Linked DNA regions of Saccharomyces cerevisiae S288C. The gene in region 1 interacts genetically with each later gene. Each region holds a gene or a part of one and is shown on either strand. Other genes may lie near its edges.

The links. A genetic interaction does not mean that the proteins touch.
Region 2: mutations in YAP6 (region 1) and ILV3 together harm fitness more than expected from each alone (negative genetic interaction), as found in Saccharomyces cerevisiae (one large-scale study listed by BioGRID).

Annotation. Positions count from the first base shown.
Region 1 is NC_001136.10:974,131-977,741, reverse strand, and holds YAP6 (Yap6p), read left to right. Parts: upstream 1-1,959; coding exon 1,960-3,111; downstream 3,112-3,611. Other genes in the region: EXG2 (glucan exo-1,3-beta-glucosidase), read left to right, coding at 1-221; SWM1 (Swm1p), read left to right, coding at 513-1,025; chaperone ATPase HSP78, read left to right, coding at 3,499-3,611. UniProt on the Saccharomyces cerevisiae protein: Transcription activator involved in the regulation of genes expressed in response to environmental changes and metabolic requirements.
Region 2 is NC_001142.9:463,905-467,805, reverse strand, and holds ILV3 (dihydroxy-acid dehydratase ILV3), read left to right. Parts: upstream 1-1,597; coding exon 1,598-3,355; downstream 3,356-3,901. Other genes in the region: TES1 (palmitoyl-CoA hydrolase), read left to right, coding at 1-574; peptidylprolyl isomerase ESS1, read left to right, coding at 773-1,285; YJR015W (uncharacterized protein), read right to left, coding at 3,553-3,901. UniProt on the Saccharomyces cerevisiae protein: Dihydroxyacid dehydratase that catalyzes the third step in the common pathway leading to biosynthesis of branched-chain amino acids.

The DNA.
Region 1 (3,611 bases):
TCGAAGAAAAATTCTCATCCTCTTTATCAGCACAGGCATTTCCAAGAACAACGTCATCGGTTTTGTCCTCCACTACGACTTCCAGGAAGAGTAAGAATGCTGCAATTTCTAATAAACTAACAACTTCGCAGCTATTACCAATCAAAAATATGAGTTTGACCTGGAAAGCGAGCGTATGCGCACTCGCTATCACCATTGCCGCTCTTTGCGCTTCTCTTTAAAGTAAACGGCAACAGTGTGGTGCGTTTAATGGTGCTAATTATATATACACTTTTCATTATATTATTATAGATACTCAGAACGTAGGCACTATGTAGAAAAGCACCCAAAGTTCGAAATATCATATGATATACTTCTATGCATGTCGTAGAAAAAGACAACAATCTGAATTGCAACCTCAAAAAAAAAAATCTTAGTACTACATCATATTTGTGCCGTGGCCTAGCTGTATCGTGAGAGAAGGGAGAATAATATCAGAGAAGTGGGGTGAGCAAAGTATAACAACCACGATTATGAGTTCAAGTTCTTATAGGGATTCATATTTTCAATACCGCCATTTACCAGCACCACATCACATATTATATGCGGAATGGAATCAAGATATACTGGCGCTTCCGGACGAAGTGGCAAATATTACAATGGCTATGAAAGATAATACTCGCACCGACGCGGAGGAGGGAAGAGCTCCCCAAGATGGGGAAAGGAATTCTAATGTACGCGAGAGCGCTCAAGGTAAGGCATTAATGACAAGTGAACAAAATAGCAACCGCTACTGGAACTCTTTTCATGATGAAGACGATTGGAATCTATTCAATGGCATGGAACTGGAGAGTAATGGAGTAGTGACGTTTGCTGGACAGGCGTTCGATCATTCTTTAAACGGGGGAACCAATTCCAGGAACGACGGTGCCAATGAGCCAAGAAAAGAAACGATAACTGGTTCTATTTTTGATAGGCGCATCACACAATTGGCGTACGCAAGAAATAACGGTTGGCACGAACTGGCTCTCCCACAGTCACGATGAGCAGAACGTGACGTATATGCTGATCATTAGTCAGAAATTGTGGTGTATGGGTACTATGCACAGCCGTTGAGACTAGACTATTGTGTGAGAAATTTTTTTAAAGCAAAACAGTGGCGTAAAATCCACGGAACAAAATAACACCCAAAACAGTTGTACTGCTTTGTTTACTTTCGAGAAAGGCATTTTTTTCTCGGTTTGTTTCCGGCGAAATGATTTTTGGCGCTTTAGATAGATCCGGCTAGTTTTTCGGCGGGGGATAGGCGGTGTTTATATGGGCTGATTTATAGCATGTTAAATTTTTTTTCCGTACTTCATTTAAGTTAAAGTTATTCGCTGCTTGCTGCATCTGCGGAATTGTAATAGCGAATTTAAGAAAGAGCGTACCCGTTTTTGTTTTTTTAGCTAATGCCCCTTTGCATTATGCCGAAGGGTAGAAACTTTGTTCAAGATTATGCTTTCTTTGTAATTTTAAACATAGTCTTGCACTTATTTTTACTGCATGTGGATAAAAGTTTTTCGAATCGTTTGCAGGCAAATGTAAACTATTACTTTTTAATGATTTCTGATACTCTTTGATTCCATTCTGTCATACTTTTTTCTGCATTTGAAACGCTAATTAAGTATTTCTTGGCCCTGCTTCTTTTCCTTTTGATTTCTTTTTTTATTCTCAAGTTTTTAATTTCTGGAGAATCTCTTTTTTTGTTTATTTTGTTAACACAGTTAGTGGAGCCTTGTAGTATCGAGAGTAGACTATCTTTGGAAAGCAATGCGAGTTGAGAGATTGTGGAGTGTACTACAGAACCAATATTAAACACAATCTTTCCTCAAACTGTAACACCGAGTTTTTTTCCCCACCAATCGTGAATCCGATAGCATATACTTTTGTCTAGAAATTTCAATAAACAACAGAATAACGAAGAGTGCTAAGGGACAAATGCAAAACCCTCCGTTGATTCGTCCCGATATGTATAATCAGGGAAGCAGCTCAATGGCTACTTATAATGCCTCTGAGAAGAATCTAAATGAGCATCCTTCTCCGCAAATTGCACAGCCCAGCACGTCCCAAAAGTTACCTTATAGAATAAATCCTACAACCACTAATGGGGACACCGACATATCTGTTAACAGCAATCCTATCCAGCCTCCTTTGCCAAACTTGATGCATCTATCTGGTCCGTCTGACTATAGATCGATGCATCAAAGTCCTATACATCCATCTTATATCATCCCTCCGCATTCAAATGAAAGAAAACAATCAGCTTCTTACAACAGACCTCAAAATGCTCATGTTAGTATTCAACCTTCCGTGGTATTCCCCCCTAAAAGTTATTCCATATCTTATGCACCTTATCAAATAAATCCCCCTTTACCAAATGGACTTCCGAACCAGAGCATATCTTTGAATAAGGAGTATATTGCAGAGGAGCAACTATCAACCCTCCCATCTCGCAATACCAGTGTTACTACTGCACCTCCTTCTTTTCAAAACAGTGCTGATACCGCTAAAAATTCAGCTGATAATAATGATAATAATGATAATGTAACCAAACCTGTTCCTGATAAAGACACCCAACTCATAAGTAGTTCAGGCAAAACTTTAAGAAATACTAGAAGAGCTGCTCAAAATAGAACCGCTCAAAAGGCATTTAGACAAAGGAAAGAAAAATACATCAAGAATCTCGAACAAAAATCAAAGATATTTGACGATTTACTAGCAGAAAATAATAACTTCAAATCATTAAACGATTCATTAAGAAATGACAACAACATTTTAATAGCTCAGCATGAAGCTATAAGGAATGCAATTACTATGTTAAGAAGTGAGTATGATGTCTTATGTAACGAAAACAACATGTTGAAGAATGAGAATAGTATAATAAAAAATGAACACAACATGTCAAGAAATGAAAATGAAAACCTAAAACTTGAGAATAAACGCTTCCACGCTGAATATATACGAATGATCGAGGATATTGAAAATACTAAAAGAAAGGAACAAGAACAACGAGATGAAATAGAGCAACTAAAAAAAAAAATAAGATCCCTGGAGGAAATAGTAGGGAGACACTCGGATAGTGCCACGTAATACAATAAATAGGGAGCAGATATTGATCTCTAGTACTGGAAGATCAACTTTTTGCTTTGGCCTTATAGGTCATATAAATTTTAATAATTAATGTAACAGACAAATCAAGGTGTGATTCTGTTCTGATAAAATTTGTTATTTTCCAGAATGTTCTAGAAGTGTTCTTTCATCTAATGGCATCGCGTTTGAATAGGGGGTGCACGGACTTTTTTTTTTGAATAAACCCCTGTGATTCATTGTATCTAAGCTCATCAAACCCCCTAGTTACTGACTCACGCACACACATATATATACATATATATGCATATGTAAGCATGAAAAGTTTGACTTCTATTATCTATTCCAGGAACCCTGAAACAAGCGAGTGAAAATCTTTCAAGGTTAAATATGTTAAGACAAGCTACAAAAGCACCAATACAAAAATATTTACAGAGAACGCAACTATTAAGGCGAAGTACTCCACGAATATACACTATTGTACAGTGTAAAAGATCTATTTG
Region 2 (3,901 bases), on another chromosome or scaffold:
GAAATTGAGCAGGTATGCCTCATTGTCCGACAGGTTCCAAGACGCAACCTCGATGAGCAAGTATGTGGATGCGTTTCAATACGGAGTCATGGAGTACCAATTCCCCAAGGACATGTTCTACTCGGCAAGACACACCGACGAGCTGGATTATTTCGTCAAAGTGAGACCTCCCATCACTACCGTGGAGCACGCGGGCGACGAGTCTTCTTTACACAAGCATCATCCGTACAGGATCCCGAAGAGCATTACTCCTGAGAACGACGCTCGCTACAACTACGTGGCCTTTGCGTATCTGTCCGATTCCTACCTCCTACTCACGATCCCGTACTTCCACAACCTGCCTTTGTACTGCCACAGTTTCAGTGTCTCGCTCGACCACACGATTTACTTTCACCAGTTGCCTCATGTGAACAATTGGATCTATCTTAAGATTTCGAATCCCAGGTCCCACTGGGACAAGCACCTCGTACAGGGCAAGTATTTCGACACACAGTCGGGACGCATCATGGCAAGCGTCTCTCAGGAGGGCTACGTTGTCTACGGGTCAGAACGAGACATTCGAGCCAAGTTCTGAGGACAATTCCCTCCCACGTATAAACACATACATATATATTCTTATATTATATAATAATATCCTATTTATTATTACATCACCTTTCACGAGCGGGTATCATACCTTTTTCCCTTCGATCTAAGTAGAAAAAGGACCTGAATGATCATTGTGGTACTTATTCCCACGCATAACCGACTACGGCACCACAACGACGCACCAATGCCATCTGACGTAGCATCGAGGACCGGGCTGCCAACCCCGTGGACCGTCAGGTATAGTAAGTCCAAGAAAAGAGAGTATTTTTTCAATCCAGAGACGAAGCACTCGCAATGGGAGGAGCCTGAGGGCACCAACAAGGACCAGCTACACAAGCACTTAAGAGACCATCCAGTGCGTGTAAGATGCCTGCACATTCTCATCAAGCACAAGGATTCAAGAAGACCCGCATCGCATAGATCCGAGAACATTACGATATCCAAGCAAGACGCTACGGACGAACTGAAAACCTTAATCACGAGGTTGGATGACGACTCTAAGACGAACTCCTTCGAGGCCCTGGCTAAAGAGAGATCAGATTGCTCTTCATACAAGCGAGGCGGCGACCTCGGCTGGTTCGGGAGAGGCGAGATGCAGCCTAGCTTTGAAGACGCTGCCTTCCAGCTCAAGGTCGGCGAGGTAAGCGATATCGTTGAATCAGGAAGCGGTGTTCATGTGATCAAGCGGGTAGGTTAGGTTGGCATTTGCTTCTCCACCTCACCTTTTTATGTTCTTATTCCCTCTTGTATCCATTCCGTCCTCGCTGAACCCATGAAAAGAAAAAAAATTAACTAGTCACATAGTTAAATGGCGCTGTTCTTCGCTGCGAGCGGAACCGGGCCTGAAAAAAAATTTTCTCTTTTCCTCTCCAGATGACTCAGTAATATAGTAGTATATTATATAATGTAACAAAAGAAGAGACTGAAGTTTTATTATGCATTGTAGCGCCTGTAATCTTTAGTAACGGATTCTTGTATTTTTTTGTAAACAGCCAAGAAAAAAGTAGAGATGGGCTTGTTAACGAAAGTTGCTACATCTAGACAATTCTCTACAACGAGATGCGTTGCAAAGAAGCTCAACAAGTACTCGTATATCATCACTGAACCTAAGGGCCAAGGTGCGTCCCAGGCCATGCTTTATGCCACCGGTTTCAAGAAGGAAGATTTCAAGAAGCCTCAAGTCGGGGTTGGTTCCTGTTGGTGGTCCGGTAACCCATGTAACATGCATCTATTGGACTTGAATAACAGATGTTCTCAATCCATTGAAAAAGCGGGTTTGAAAGCTATGCAGTTCAACACCATCGGTGTTTCAGACGGTATCTCTATGGGTACTAAAGGTATGAGATACTCGTTACAAAGTAGAGAAATCATTGCAGACTCCTTTGAAACCATCATGATGGCACAACACTACGATGCTAACATCGCCATCCCATCATGTGACAAAAACATGCCCGGTGTCATGATGGCCATGGGTAGACATAACAGACCTTCCATCATGGTATATGGTGGTACTATCTTGCCCGGTCATCCAACATGTGGTTCTTCGAAGATCTCTAAAAACATCGATATCGTCTCTGCGTTCCAATCCTACGGTGAATATATTTCCAAGCAATTCACTGAAGAAGAAAGAGAAGATGTTGTGGAACATGCATGCCCAGGTCCTGGTTCTTGTGGTGGTATGTATACTGCCAACACAATGGCTTCTGCCGCTGAAGTGCTAGGTTTGACCATTCCAAACTCCTCTTCCTTCCCAGCCGTTTCCAAGGAGAAGTTAGCTGAGTGTGACAACATTGGTGAATACATCAAGAAGACAATGGAATTGGGTATTTTACCTCGTGATATCCTCACAAAAGAGGCTTTTGAAAACGCCATTACTTATGTCGTTGCAACCGGTGGGTCCACTAATGCTGTTTTGCATTTGGTGGCTGTTGCTCACTCTGCGGGTGTCAAGTTGTCACCAGATGATTTCCAAAGAATCAGTGATACTACACCATTGATCGGTGACTTCAAACCTTCTGGTAAATACGTCATGGCCGATTTGATTAACGTTGGTGGTACCCAATCTGTGATTAAGTATCTATATGAAAACAACATGTTGCACGGTAACACAATGACTGTTACCGGTGACACTTTGGCAGAACGTGCAAAGAAAGCACCAAGCCTACCTGAAGGACAAGAGATTATTAAGCCACTCTCCCACCCAATCAAGGCCAACGGTCACTTGCAAATTCTGTACGGTTCATTGGCACCAGGTGGAGCTGTGGGTAAAATTACCGGTAAGGAAGGTACTTACTTCAAGGGTAGAGCACGTGTGTTCGAAGAGGAAGGTGCCTTTATTGAAGCCTTGGAAAGAGGTGAAATCAAGAAGGGTGAAAAAACCGTTGTTGTTATCAGATATGAAGGTCCAAGAGGTGCACCAGGTATGCCTGAAATGCTAAAGCCTTCCTCTGCTCTGATGGGTTACGGTTTGGGTAAAGATGTTGCATTGTTGACTGATGGTAGATTCTCTGGTGGTTCTCACGGGTTCTTAATCGGCCACATTGTTCCCGAAGCCGCTGAAGGTGGTCCTATCGGGTTGGTCAGAGACGGCGATGAGATTATCATTGATGCTGATAATAACAAGATTGACCTATTAGTCTCTGATAAGGAAATGGCTCAACGTAAACAAAGTTGGGTTGCACCTCCACCTCGTTACACAAGAGGTACTCTATCCAAGTATGCTAAGTTGGTTTCCAACGCTTCCAACGGTTGTGTTTTAGATGCTTGATGCATTATAGGCCCCAATCGATGAATATATATATAGAGATTCTCCTTTTCCATCATCTTTTTTGTTCGCAATCTTTTCATATATATATATATATAAATATTTATTATAGTCCATTGAATGGATAAACATTTATTTAAAAAAAAACAACGATCAGTATTTTTTTATTTGAAAAGTCGCCTTAATTATAATCTACGAAATTAACTCTGCTTTGCTGCCACTAAAGCCTTCTGTTTTAGTTTTCTACTAGCATACTTGCCAACAAATGGTAACAGTGCCGTATTCAAGGCAATGAGTGCGACTAAAATACCATAATTCCGACCCATCTTGCGTCTTGTCACGTCAAAAAAAATAACCCTGTAGATATCGATGACGTTGTGAACGGGCATCATGTACCCATATCTATAAACATTATTGTTTAGCGCTAATGGGAAGAAAGAAGGTGCAATATTGAGAATGACAAATGATAGGATCCAGAACCCGAGATACTGGGGTCCTAACGTAATAACAAGCATAACCGCATTTTCGTTAGCTCCTCCCGCAGCAAGC